Linked DNA regions of Saccharomyces cerevisiae S288C. The protein of the gene in region 3 purifies or fractionates together with the protein of the main gene of each other region. This does not show direct contact. Each region holds a gene or a part of one and is shown on either strand. Other genes may lie near its edges.

Region 1 (4,693 bases), on a different chromosome or scaffold from region 3:
TTTCCTTTTGTAATGGTGCCTGGATAGAATGGCTCCTGCTATGAGCATTCCTATTTGGACTTCTTGGCGGTATATCAGGGGCAGAAGTTTCAGCCGTCGAAGTTCGTGCGATATTTGTTGATTTCTTTATTGTAGAGGGCACCGATGGCTTTCTAACGGATTTTTCAGAGTCATTGTTTTTACTTTCAGAACCAAACCGAAAAAAAGACCTTCGTTTACCTTTATTGTTGCTAAAGCCATCAAACATCACTGTATTATTAGACTTTACCTGTAGACTCCTTCAAAACCTGTAATTCGCTTTGCAGAACATGCTATTTCAACATTTTCCCTCTTAAACTTTTGCCAAATAATAATAGTGCGCTCTTTGAATCCGCGATGACATTTGAAAGAAAACATTAAATTAAACTATCGCTTTGCATACGGAGCAAATGCCATGAAAGAGAAAAAATAACCAAAAGGTTTTTTAAATATATCTATACACCTCCACTGTTATATGCGACTCAATGTTCTAATATATTCAATATCAGCTCTAATGCTTTGACTATATATTCACCGACTCCACCAATACTAATAACGCGGATGGTACTTGGGTGAGGCGCCTGAGCAAAAATAGTGTAATTTGTTGTATTTAAAGATTCAAGCCACATTTGTGACTCGTGAAGATTATTCAGATTCAATACGACGATATTACAATTTGTCTTTGATCGTAGATCATTTAGATTTTGATAAACAATATCAATATAATTTTGTCTTGGACACCTAACGTATGTCTTTAGAATCTGATACGAAGACTTCTTTTTCACTGCATCCATAGAAGCTTTTATGGTACCAATGCAATGTTGTTTGATTTCATCCTGCGTCATAAAACCCGGTTTATTACCTTCACTATACCTTCCGTCCTCAAAAGTTTTTGGCCCGGAATGACGATTGGAAGAATTCAATACATTTGATGGCTTATTAACAGCGTGTCTCTGTGGTTGTGTTTGATATGAAGTTGCACCTGCTTCAATAGTTTGAGAAGAGGAAATTGAATTTGAAGAGGGCGAATTCGATAAAGGTCTTTGTTGTCGTGGAAATTGATCTCCTTGAAGGCCACTTATTTCGTTATATGCCTTCATTTCAGAAATATGTTTAATCATTTGAGCTTTTGATGTTTCTATAATTGGCCTGGTTTTACTAATGTACGACTTTATATCAAACAAGCCATCGCCAATTAATGGAAGTTCGTAGAGGGCAAGTGATATCTGTGAATAAGTGCGGTTATATTCACGCTTAAAGTAGTTTATCACGTTAGCTTCACACTTGCCAAATTCTACTTGTGAAAAAAAATTAGAAAGCTCATTCATGAACTTACTTACATGACAAGCCTTAACTTGAAACTGTTGAAAATCTGGAACAACATTGAAACCAACTTCTACAATACTGGATGAGGGCTGCTCTCTTCTATAGCTTGTTATTATATGGCCTCTACCAGTTTCTATATTCTTGGGCAAATAAAACGAACCTGTCAAGTTAATATTCTTAGGAACTCTAAAGTATGATTTTTCGGATGGTGCCATCCATAATCGCTTCTGGAAAGCAAGCAGAACTGATAATACGAAGCAAGAGTCCAATATATTGAAGTCCTTCAAAACTATGTAGAAAAGCATGCCTTCATCTTTCTGCTCTTTCTGTGGATAACATCGTAATATATCCTTCGATATATACTTATGCAATTCATCCATGCACTCGTCGAACTGTTGTTTATCTTCCGTTCTCATGGGGAGTATGAGCAGACTACCTTTTATGAATTGCCCTGCATTCTTCTTAGTCGACCTTATCCTATCTAGGTTTTTCCATATATCAAAAGATTGGAATGCTTCAGAATTACCGACCTTCCTTCTTTGGCCATCATTGGATGTCGTAGGATAATGTCCTTGTGAAAGTTGTCCCTTCGGCTTGGTATGATGATACGCTAATCCTCTCCTTCTTGGGCGCATGATACTAATATTTTTTGCTTATATTAGTCGAAGGGAAACTGTTTCTCAACGTCAAACTTCTACTATAGTATATAATATAACTTTAATGTTTTCTACACTGCGATGCGCGCTGAAAATTCTAGCTCAAATAAAAAAAAGGTTACAACAAACCAGTAGCAATCATGAGAATAAGAAATATGAAGAAGTAATTAAAGATCATGTTGGAGTAAAAATCCAAAATATCATCTGTTTATTAGCATTCGTGTTAGTAGTATATTATCAAATGCGGTGTAAGAAGATGACATAAAGATTGAAAGACAGTCATCAAATGGAAGAGGAAATGCAACAACTCATGATGTAATAGGATAATGTCACATAAAAAATGGAAGATGAGATTATAATATTATTACGTAAGAATACCGATCCTCTTTTGCGGGTTCTTATATCTCGGGGAGAGCTTCTAGTACATTATTCATTCATAATATTATACCTTTACCAAGGATTGAATCCCAACAATCATCAAATTATTCACCCCTTTCTCAGGTCACTGGTTTGAAGCAAGTAAACTACATCTTCTTATACCGTATGCGATAATATACTAATAATATAAATACTACTAAATAGATGATGCTAGAATTCCATTAGAACTATAGTATACCATTTAAGTATTTATATTGCTATTGTAATATCTTATGAAAAGTTAATGTTCATCTGTCCCAACAATCTCTAACAAGTACAAAGATGACACGAGTTATGAGGCGCTGTCATAGGAACCTCCAAACAAGTTTGATATTAATTATAAGAAACATATTTCAAGCCCTCGTGTTGTATTACGGGCTCGAGTAATACCGGAGTGTTTTGACAATCCTAATATAAACAGTCTTAGGGAAGTAACCAGTTGTCAAAACAGTTTATCAGATTAATTCACGGAATGTTACTTATCTTATATATTATATAAAATATGAATCATACTAAGTGGTGGAAGCGCGGAATCTCGGATCTAAACTAATTGTTCAGGCATTTATACTTTTGGGTAGTTCAGCTAGGGAAGGACGGGTTTTGTCTCATGTTGTTCGTTTTGTTATAAGGTTGTTTCATATGTGTTTTATGAACGTTTAGGATGACGTATTGTCATACTGACGTATCTCATTTTGAGATACAACACCTCGCAAGAAATCGACTCTCGGTAGCCAAGTTGGTTTAAGGCGCAAGACTGTAATTTATCACTACGAAATCTTGAGATCGGGCGTTCGACTCGCCCCCGGGAGATTTTTTTATGTCAAGCACCTACTTTTAGCCGGCTTTCTGGAGATAAGTTCCCAGTAGTCGTTGTATTTGATTCTCTATTGGATAGTCAATGACACATTCGTGACCGAACAATGAGATATTATTGAGTACCGGGAGTATTATGTGTCATAATTTGTAGTATTATCTGTGTGACGGATTAAGTTTGCTATCTCAAATGCCGCGCGCGCGAATTGCTCATGATATAATAATAGCTAATAATATGATAATATGATAATAATAGATAAGATTACTGATAACATTATTTTAGTATTCAAAAGCGTATTACATATATATAGTCGAGTAAATACTTTTTTTTCAATGGGGAGTGGAAGGGACAGCCGCTCTGACCTGTTATTAACGACAGACAACACGGTACCAAAGTTATACAATGACTGTGCACTCAACGTGGAAGGAAAAAGTTCAATTAAAAAAAGATCAACTGAACAGTAAGATAAAAGACGAATGGAAATTAAACAGCACAACTATAACGAGGTTGAAGAACGATAAAAAAAATTTAATCAAGAATATCGATGATTTATGCTCATCTTCAGAAAATCAGATCACCCACTCCACGATTATGGCCTTGAGACAGGCACTGGAAGCAAAAGAGTTAAGCTGCCATGAAATAACAGCTGCATTTTGTCATAGGGCTGCTTTAATTCATCAAGTAGTGAATTGTCTATCCGAAATCATGTTTTCAGAGGCATTGAGATTGGCTGACTATTACGACAGCAATAGACCAGCCATATTGCCACCCTTGTACGGTATACCGATATCTCTCAAAGACCAATGTAACGTTGAGGGTGTAGACACCTCACTGGGTTATTTATGTCGAACTTTCAAACCAAAAACCAAGAATGAAGAATCATTGATTGTCAGTTTTCTGAGAGATTTAGGAGCTATTATATTTGTAAAAACCACCGTACCTTCATCGATGATGGCTACAGATACACAATCTAACACCTTTGGGTACACATATAATAGTATTAATTTAAGCTTCTCCAGTGGTGGATCTTCTGGTGGAGAGGGTTCGTTAATTGGTGCTCATGGTTCCTTGCTGGGACTAGGAACTGATATAGGCGGAAGCATCAGAATTCCTAGTAGTTACCAAGGATTATTTGGTTTGAAACCAACTTTTGGACGCGTCCCTTACTTGAGGGTGGATAATTCATTTGAGGGAAGGGAAACAATTCCCAGTGTAATTGGGCCGTTGGCAAGAGATCTTTCGGATTTGAGATACTTCATGAGTTGCGTTATCAACATCTGTCAACCATGGGTACAAGACGTCAAGTGTATTCCATACCATTTTGATTCCTCTACAAGTAAATTACACGATAATTATGTTGTTGGAATATGGTATGGTGACGGCGTTATTGATCCTCCGCCCAGTGACATCAGGGCTTTAAAGACGTGCGAAGACCTAGTTAATAAAACTAAAGGAATGAAGG
Region 2 (4,749 bases), on a different chromosome or scaffold from region 3:
GGCCAGCAAACTAAACAACACCAATTATATTCTAACAACTTCCAGCAATCTTACCCAAACGGAATGGTTCCAGGATACTACCCAAAAATGCCGTATAATCCCATGGGGGGGGATCCTCTACTCGATCAAGCCTTTTATGGCGCGGACGATTTTTTCTTTCCACCAGAAGGATGTGATAACAATATGCTGTATCCACAAACTGCAACTTCATGGAATGTTTTGCCCCCTCAAGCTATGCAACCAGCTCCAACCTATGTTGGGAGACCATACACACCGAATTATAGATCGACACCAGGTTCCGCGATGTTCCCATACATGCAAAGTTCAAATTCCATGCAGTGGAACACTGCTGTTTCACCTTATAGTTCGAGAGCACCATCTACAACTGCTAAAAACTATCCTCCTAGCACATTTTATTCTCAAAATATAAATCAATACCCACGGCGAAGAACTGTGGGAATGAAGTCTTCACAAGGAAATGTTCCAACAGGTAATAAACAATCTGTGGGCAAGTCTGCAAAAATTTCAAAGCCTCTACATATTAAGACAAGTGCTTATCAGAAGCAATACAAAATCAACTTGGAAACGAAAGCCAGGCCAAGTGCTGGTGACGAAGATTCTGCTCATCCTGATAAGAACAAAGAAATTTCGATGCCTACTCCGGATTCCAATACTTTGGTGGTCCAGTCAGAAGAAGGTGGAGCTCATTCACTTGAGGTAGATACCAATCGAAGGTCCGATAAAAACCTTCCAGATGCAACCTGATATAATATAATTTTTGAATTTATGATACAAGAATTAAAAATGCGGGCCAGAATTTAATATTAAACAATACTCAGAAGAAAACAACAAGGACAATCTGTTTTTATAAATAAAACAATCTTATACAAGACTAGAGCAAACAAAAAGCAAGAAAAAAAGGTAATAAATGTAACAAATCTATTAACGTTAGAAAATAACAAAAAAAAAAAAAGAAAAAGATAATATAATATAATACCTTTATATATGTGATTTATCTAGCGTCACAGTATGTAATATAAATATCAATGAGTTTCTTAACATGACCTCCAAAACTACATGATCGCTTAGTATTACAATATGTGTTTATCCACTATTTTGATACCAACGTAGTATTGCCTTTTATTTTTCAGAATGGCAAAGGCCATCGGAAAATTTTTCCACCAGAAAAAGCGAGATTCCTAATTATAAGGTGAAGGCATCGATGTTCATAATAGTTAAAAGTTGTAATCAAAAAAGAAAAAGGTGCAGAGATAAACAAAGTTAATAAATGACAAAATCAAGAAAGCAGAAGCAAAAAAAGCAGGATTTTTTGAGAAAAAAGTTAAAAGTTGGTAAGCCAAAGGAAAAAGCAAGGAATGCTACCGATACATCTTTCGTTTCCAAGACTATTTCTATTAGAAATCAACATTTAGACCAAAATCCACATGATTTAACAAAACGGCTAACGCTCTTAAAGCATCATAACATCAATGTGAGAAAGGAAACATTAACAACATTCCAAAAGTCAATACCGTCTATAATAAAATCTCGACTTATGACACCATTACTTACTCAAAGTATACCGTTGATTTGCGATGAATCGCAGCAAGTACGTCAGGGACTTATTGATCTCGTAGATGAAATAGGTAGTCACGATGCGGAGATTTTAAAATTGCACTGCAACATTTTTGTCTTATACATTAACATGGCAATGACACATATTGTTACACAAATTCAAGCAGATTCTACTAAATTTCTCTCTCATCTGTTGAAGTATTGCGGAGATGAAGTGGTTAGGAAATCTTGGGTAAAACTTTTGAACGGTGTCTTTGGAGTGCTCGGTTGGGGACAGGTAGGGAAAAATGATAGCGCTAGCATAGTGCAAACGAAGAAGCGAAACGCCAAATATGTCACTATTCATCTCAATGCTCTGTACACTCTTGTTGAATACGGATGTCAGGATGAACGCGCTAGAAGCGACGGAGACACGGCAGAGACTACAGAGGACAGCGGTACGCTACGAAACCCATATTTAATCCCAGATTATCCGCAGCCGTTTGAGCACTTGAAACTATTTACCAGAGAATTGAAAGTTCAGGATGCTACCTCCAGTGGAGTAAATGCCACACTACTGTCATTGGCAACACAGGATATCGATACTCGAAAAGCGGTATTTATCGAACAATTCCTGCCTATAGTACGTAAGAAAATCGAAGTAATTATCAAGGAAGGTGGTGAATGTGGTAAAAGTGCAAACAAGCTTAAAACGCTGCTTGCAAAAATCTTTGATTGACGTTTCATAAGAATACAATATATAATTGATAGATTGTACTTTTTTTTTTGTTACCCTCAGGAGAGGCAGGGCGAAAAATGCAGAATCTTGGATTTTTTTTAAGTAGATCTAAGTTTGTTTATTTTTCAAATACTATTGGCACAAAGGGAAGGGCTTTTCAGGGATTATTCAGATTCGAGTTGGTGGTGAAATTGTGTGTGCGTACATCCTTATATCAGAGCTTTCCTTTAGTGACAACATTTAAATCGACGTGACCTTATTCGGGTAGTCAAACACCGAACCATATTCTTTGCCCTTAGGTTACTTTCCCTTCATTTTATCAGCTTAGTCGATTAAGTTCGTGTCTATATCCCGTCAAAAGTTCCTAATACATTGCGGGTACAAATGTCCTATAAACAAACAACATATTATCCTAGCAGGGGTAATCTGGTAAGAAACGACTCATCTCCGTACACTAATACTATTTCCTCAGAAACCAACAATAGCAGTACAAGCGTATTGAGTCTTCAAGGCGCATCTAACGTGAGTTTAGGGACCACTGGTAACCAATTGTACATGGGCGACTTGGATCCTACATGGGATAAGAATACCGTTAGGCAAATTTGGGCATCTCTGGGAGAAGCGAATATTAATGTCCGGATGATGTGGAATAATACGCTTAATAATGGGTCGAGATCATCAATGGGTCCAAAGAATAATCAAGGATATTGCTTTGTTGATTTTCCCTCATCTACTCATGCAGCAAATGCACTTTTAAAGAATGGTATGCTTATACCCAATTTTCCAAATAAAAAATTGAAATTAAACTGGGCTACATCCTCATATTCAAACAGCAACAATTCTCTTAACAACGTGAAGAGTGGTAACAACTGTTCTATATTTGTTGGAGACTTAGCACCAAATGTTACAGAGTCTCAATTATTTGAACTTTTCATTAACAGATATGCTTCTACTTCTCATGCCAAAATTGTGCACGACCAGGTTACCGGGATGTCTAAGGGCTACGGTTTTGTAAAGTTTACCAATTCTGATGAACAACAGTTAGCTCTGTCAGAAATGCAAGGCGTATTTTTAAATGGTAGAGCCATAAAAGTAGGACCCACATCTGGTCAGCAGCAGCATGTCAGCGGTAACAACGATTACAACCGTAGTTCTTCGTCACTAAACAACGAAAATGTAGACTCGAGATTTCTTTCCAAGGGTCAATCATTTTTAAGCAATGGAAATAATAACATGGGCTTTAAGAGAAACCATATGTCTCAATTCATTTATCCAGTCCAACAGCAGCCGTCTTTAAACCACTTCACTGATCCGAATAACACCACTGTGTTTATCGGAGGATTGTCATCACTGGTGACTGAAGACGAATTACGTGCTTATTTCCAACCTTTTGGCACGATAGTCTATGTCAAAATTCCGGTAGGCAAATGTTGCGGGTTTGTCCAGTATGTTGATCGGCTATCGGCTGAGGCTGCCATTGCTGGGATGCAAGGGTTCCCCATTGCAAATTCAAGAGTTAGACTGTCTTGGGGCAGGTCTGCTAAGCAAACAGCGTTGCTTCAGCAAGCCATGTTAAGTAACTCTTTACAGGTTCAACAACAGCAACCAGGTTTACAGCAACCTAACTACGGATACATTCCATCCAGTACGTGTGAAGCACCTGTTCTGCCAGATAATAATGTTTCATCCACGATGCTTCCTGGATGTCAAATTCTGAATTATTCTAATCCATACGCTAATGCGAATGGATTAGGCTCGAACAATTTCAGTTTCTACAGTAATAATAATGCTACAAATACGCAAGCTACTAGTTTACTGGCTGACACTAGCTCTATGGACCTCTCAGGCACGGGTGGCCAACAAGTTATCATGCAAGGAAGCGAAGCGGTTGTTAACAGCACTAATGCAATGTTAAACCGTTTGGAACAAGGCAGTAATGGTTTTATGTTTGCTTGAGCCACACGTGTATATAAAAATGTTTGTTTTCCTTTTGGCCCTTTTTCTTTCTTGGTATTTTCTTTACTTCAGTGTTAAATTGTATTTGGTCTTAGGCTGACGGTGATATAACAGCGCTTTATTTTCTTTTTTTCATTGCTTTTTATCGTTTTCAAGATTCCATGTCCTTTTATTAAGTCTTTTTTGTATCGTTATAGTTGCGTTTTTCCTTTTGATTTTCATTTCTTTCAAGGTTATTGTTATTCTTAATTCAATTCAAGATTGTACGCTTTTAAGCATGTTTATGATTTTCCTTTATTACTTCCATTTACCTTCTTTCCATCACTACTCATTACGGCCTGTCAATTCCTTTTTTGCGTCACCTTCATTTTTTCTTCTCTGTTCTTTTCTGTATTTGTCGAAAATTTTATATTGATGTATCTTAATTTTATTTTTAGTATTATTATACTGTAAATGTTTCTTACTGTGTCAAGATTTCCCGTTGCGCTATCTTCCAAGAC
Region 3 (4,919 bases):
TTGTTCAACCCTCTATAGAGAACTTTTGTGTAATCGGTCAATATCAATCTAATTAGACCGCTCCCAATAGTCACTGTACTAGTATCAGATGACAAAACTCGTAAGGTTTTAGTCAGTAATGAGGTAGTTTTCGAGAATTTCCCATGGTTATTTACTTGAGCATAATATGACCAAGTCTGTACCAATTGAGCACCAAATCCTCTTTGGAAGAACACTATTAGAGGTTGGTAATCTTTGGAGAGAGTTTCATCTTCGACTGCACTGATTATACTTTCTAGTGTTTCTAATGTACCGTCTTCGAACTCTTTCCCTTGGGTGTACTTCTCCCTTCTCTGGTCGCGAGATCCATAGGCTTCGCTATGATTACTCATTATGTAAGTGCTCCTCTAGTTCTGTTAGATGAAGTAGTACCGCATAGATTAGAGAAATAATATCCAATCAAGAATATAACCGAACTATTCTTTGCGATGAGCTTTATTGCTGAAATTTTTCATATTTCGTCTACAGTGATATAATATTGAAATCCTCATGCAAGTCGTGCATAGGTAAAAGCTGTTTACTATATGTTGGTGCACTATTATCATATAATTTTAGTTTGGTCGTATACTAGTGCGGCAGTAATAATAAATGCTTTAGAATCTTCAATCTTCATTTGTTTACGTAAAATGAAAACGTTTTGTGTTAGAATTGACAGATTGAAGTTTAATTTTAGGTGTCGGGAGAAACATTTTAATCCCTTTTTATGAATATAATTTAAGTACTAAAAAAATCACCATAATTATACAAAGTAACTGCAATTTAAAAGTACGTTTATAATTAATTCACATACACATGTTATTGTATCTAACTAAATAGTCTCGAAATAGTTCAATTGAGTACGCAAACTAACACAGTCAGTACAGATCGTAAAGTTTTCCGTCAATAGGGCCCTGACGGAGAAAGATTCCCTTTCCTATATTAGGAATCTAATAGACAAATTCATCAAGATATGCTTCCGCAACAAATCTTGCTCTGGCATTCAAAAACAGTTTAATTTCACTGATTTCCTTATCCACGTCCTCCATGAATTCAATAATAAAATCAACCAATTTCCCAGTTTTCATTGATTCAGTATGCTTATTAGTTATTAGAAAAGAAATACTGTAGCCAGGTATTGGTACACGTCTCAGAATGTAGAATGCTTCAGCACGCTGTTCCAAAAATCTAGTAAACTTGTGAACTAAAATCTGCTCAATTTCATCTGCCTGTTTCACCATTAAACTCATACGCACCGAGTTTACACTGGGCTCAATCAATACTTGTTCATTTTCATTACGAGATATATGCATCGGTTGGAGCAACAATTCGGCGCTAGTGTTAGGGACTTCAACTTCCGGTCTGTTGTGCCTCTCCACTTCCTGCGAAGAGAAATTGCTCAAAGTCAACGCAGCTTCCAGGGAATAACGAACAGCCGTTAGATACGGACGTAATGATTGTGACATTTCCTACTATCAGTTGCTTCCTCTTTTATCTTTTGTCAAAGTGACACCGAGTTGTTCCGAAAGCCTCTATTTGCTTGGCTTTACAGGCTTTTTTTGTTCTATAATTGTATTTTGCTATACAAAAGGGGCGACGTGGTAAACGATATGAAATTATCGACAATAATAATGTACTTGGAAATCTGGCAGTTGATGACATCGCAATAGCGTGCCTACCTATCAGGATAACAAGGTCTGAAGCCAGATCGACCACTAGACAAGCATTGCCGGAGGTGGGAGACGTGAAACTATGTCTATTTGGAAGGAAGCTAAAGATGCAAGTGGAAGGATATATTATTACAATACTTTGACAAAGAAATCTACGTGGGAGAAGCCCAAGGAACTAATTTCTCAGGAGGAGCTACTTCTTCGAGAAAATGGCTGGAAGGCGGCCAAGACGGCAGACGGCAAAGTATACTATTATAATCCAACAACAAGAGAAACCAGCTGGACTATTCCGGCCTTCGAGAAGAAAGTAGAACCCATCGCAGAACAAAAACATGATACAGTATCCCATGCACAGGTTAATGGAAATAGAATAGCCCTTACGGCTGGAGAAAAACAAGAGCCGGGACGAACTATAAACGAGGAGGAAAGCCAATATGCTAATAACTCTAAACTGCTTAATGTCAGGAGAAGGACTAAAGAAGAAGCAGAGAAGGAATTTATTACCATGCTGAAGGAAAATCAAGTAGACTCTACTTGGTCATTCAGTAGAATTATTTCAGAACTGGGGACCAGAGATCCAAGGTATTGGATGGTCGATGATGACCCCTTATGGAAGAAAGAAATGTTTGAGAAATATCTTTCCAATAGATCAGCCGATCAACTTCTTAAGGAACACAATGAAACAAGCAAATTCAAAGAAGCCTTTCAGAAAATGTTGCAAAACAATTCTCATATAAAATATTACACCCGTTGGCCTACCGCAAAGAGACTAATTGCCGACGAACCAATATACAAACACTCCGTGGTCAATGAAAAGACAAAGAGACAGACCTTTCAAGATTATATAGATACCCTCATCGACACTCAGAAAGAATCAAAAAAAAAATTGAAAACACAGGCCCTAAAAGAACTAAGAGAGTATTTAAACGGTATTATAACAACATCATCCTCTGAAACTTTCATAACCTGGCAGCAGCTTTTAAATCACTATGTTTTTGATAAGAGTAAGAGATATATGGCGAACCGGCACTTCAAAGTCTTAACCCACGAAGATGTTTTAAACGAGTATCTGAAAATAGTAAATACGATTGAAAACGATCTTCAAAACAAACTAAATGAGCTCCGACTGCGCAATTATACCAGAGACCGTATTGCTAGAGATAACTTTAAAAGCTTATTAAGAGAAGTGCCAATCAAAATCAAAGCAAATACTAGATGGTCAGATATTTATCCTCATATAAAGTCTGATCCGCGCTTTTTACATATGCTTGGAAGGAATGGCTCGTCCTGCCTTGATTTATTTTTAGATTTTGTTGATGAACAAAGGATGTACATCTTTGCACAAAGATCAATAGCCCAACAGACGTTGATAGATCAAAATTTTGAATGGAATGATGCCGATAGCGACGAGATCACCAAGCAAAACATAGAAAAAGTTCTGGAAAATGACCGGAAATTTGACAAGGTGGATAAAGAAGACATCAGTTTGATTGTTGATGGTTTGATAAAGCAAAGAAACGAAAAGATACAACAGAAACTCCAAAATGAGCGTAGGATATTGGAGCAAAAGAAGCACTATTTTTGGTTACTTTTGCAAAGGACATATACAAAAACCGGTAAGCCCAAGCCTAGTACGTGGGATTTAGCTTCCAAAGAGCTTGGCGAATCTCTTGAATACAAGGCACTAGGCGATGAAGATAACATAAGAAGACAAATTTTCGAGGATTTTAAGCCTGAAAGCTCTGCACCGACTGCCGAAAGCGCTACTGCAAACTTAACGTTGACCGCGTCAAAAAAGAGGCATTTAACTCCGGCTGTGGAATTGGACTATTGATTCTGACGTGTCGACCTCTATCTTGTTAATCATTATATAAATTATACATAGAGATTACATGTTATTTCAAGTTTGCGATCACCGCACAATTTCTTAGTCATTGTTGTAAGTGTTCTGCAAAAATTTCAGCTTTTGTACCTTATTTTCACAAAATTCAAACACCTGTCCGAACTGTGTTTTAACCAGTGTTTTTGAATTCAAGAGTTCAGTAATACTTTCATAATTTTTTAACCACTCCATCCAAGACAAACAATGGAGGAATGAATCTGCCAAATCGTCATCTTTTCTCACCCCCGAATTATCTTGGATCTCTAGTATATCACATAGCTTGAAACTTTTTTTTTTGGTAAGGGCATTTCTTATCCTATTATTCCAAACTCCTATGAACTCGACCAGTTTTGTAGAACTAGTTGAATTACCTTCTAGTATTGAGGTTGAAAGTATTTTTTTCACTAGCTTTATTCGAGAATCTTTGCTATGTTTGTTAGATTTTAACTTTTTTGAACTGGTCGGTGTCTCTTCTCTTGGAATGCACCAATATGAAGTCATCCGATGTGGATCGGACGAACATACCATATACCTCAACTTGGACGTATTCGGTATTTTATTCGTATACTTCATTTTATTTTCCAAGTTAGAGAAAAGAATCTGTTCGAGAATATTCACTTTTAAAATTGGGTCTAAAATATGCCTCGAAGACATAGTTCTGGTACGTTGCCTTTCAATTGTAAACATATCTGGTATCGGCATAGATTCAAATAAATACTCCGTAAGGTTAAATACAAGCTCAGAAGTTTCAGCAGGATTCAAGCTTAACTTTTTGAGGTTTTGAAAAAATTTCTCCTCTAGATTTATCTTTTGCCAGTCTAGTACTTTAGGGAGCGGATCATTATTGAGCAATTGCATCTTAGAGAAAGCAAAGTTAGAAACACCAGCATCCATAGACAATATGTTAATTCTTCCCTCTCTTATCTTTTGTTGTCGTAACTTCTCCAAAAATTCACACTGTTCTTGAATGTAGGTTCTTTTAGCTTCTTTCGTCGTGCCATTTACTGCTCCAATAACAAATGATAAAGATTTCAGTTGTGTGCTTTTTGCATTTTGGCAGCAGGAATCGATGAGTTGCAATATCTTAGCTTTCTGTGCTGTCGACATATTACTATCTTTTTTAGCTTTAGACTGTATAACCGTAAGCCTTCGTTGTATGCAATGGATAAACAAATATGGAATCGCCAGTTGAAACAAAAAAATGAGAAAAGTACGGATAATCCGAAGAAATTTAGTCTGATTCCATCCATTTTTTGTATCTTAAGAAATAATTTTGAAGTCATATAAAACTTAAATAGAAAAAGTAACTAAAATTTAGGAAAGTAGAAAAGCTCCTGCACCCTCTTCAATGG

What was found. Proteins that work in one complex are often made in the same cells at the same time.
Region 1: the proteins of PRP40 (region 3) and SNU56 purify together in Saccharomyces cerevisiae (affinity purification with mass spectrometry; 5 studies listed by BioGRID). This does not show direct contact.
Region 2: the proteins of PRP40 (region 3) and NAM8 purify together in Saccharomyces cerevisiae (affinity purification with mass spectrometry; 6 studies listed by BioGRID). This does not show direct contact.

Annotation. Positions count from the first base shown.
Region 1 is NC_001136.10:943,174-947,866, forward strand, and holds SNU56 (Snu56p), read right to left. Parts: upstream 1,980-4,693; coding exon 501-1,979; downstream 1-500. Other genes in the region: YDR239C (uncharacterized protein), read right to left, coding at 1-247; AMD2 (putative amidase), read left to right, coding at 3,634-4,693. UniProt on the Saccharomyces cerevisiae protein: Component of the U1 snRNP particle, which recognizes and binds the 5'-splice site of pre-mRNA. Together with other non-snRNP factors, U1 snRNP forms the spliceosomal commitment complex, that targets pre-mRNA to the splicing pathway.
Region 2 is NC_001140.6:275,476-280,224, forward strand, and holds NAM8 (Nam8p), read left to right. Parts: upstream 1-2,677; coding exon 2,678-4,249; downstream 4,250-4,749. Other genes in the region: homeodomain family transcription factor STE12, read left to right, coding at 1-765; IPI1 (Ipi1p), read left to right, coding at 1,289-2,293. UniProt on the Saccharomyces cerevisiae protein: Component of the U1 small nuclear ribonucleoprotein complex (U1 snRNP) involved in the initiation of meiotic recombination. Involved in the formation of DSBs at recombination hot-spots through meiosis-specific splicing of REC107 pre-mRNA.
Region 3 is NC_001143.9:416,543-421,461, forward strand, and holds PRP40 (snoRNA-splicing protein PRP40), read left to right. Parts: upstream 1-1,767; coding exon 1,768-3,519; downstream 3,520-4,919. Other genes in the region: URB1 (Urb1p), read right to left, coding at 1-371; ARC19 (Arc19p), read right to left, coding at 966-1,481; CCE1 (cruciform cutting endonuclease), read right to left, coding at 3,613-4,674; putative ubiquitin-protein ligase UFD4, read right to left, coding at 4,882-4,919. UniProt on the Saccharomyces cerevisiae protein: Required for pre-spliceosome formation, which is the first step of pre-mRNA splicing. This protein is associated with snRNP U1. Two commitment complexes, CC1 and CC2, have been defined in yeast. CC1 is a basal complex dependent only on the 5' splice site.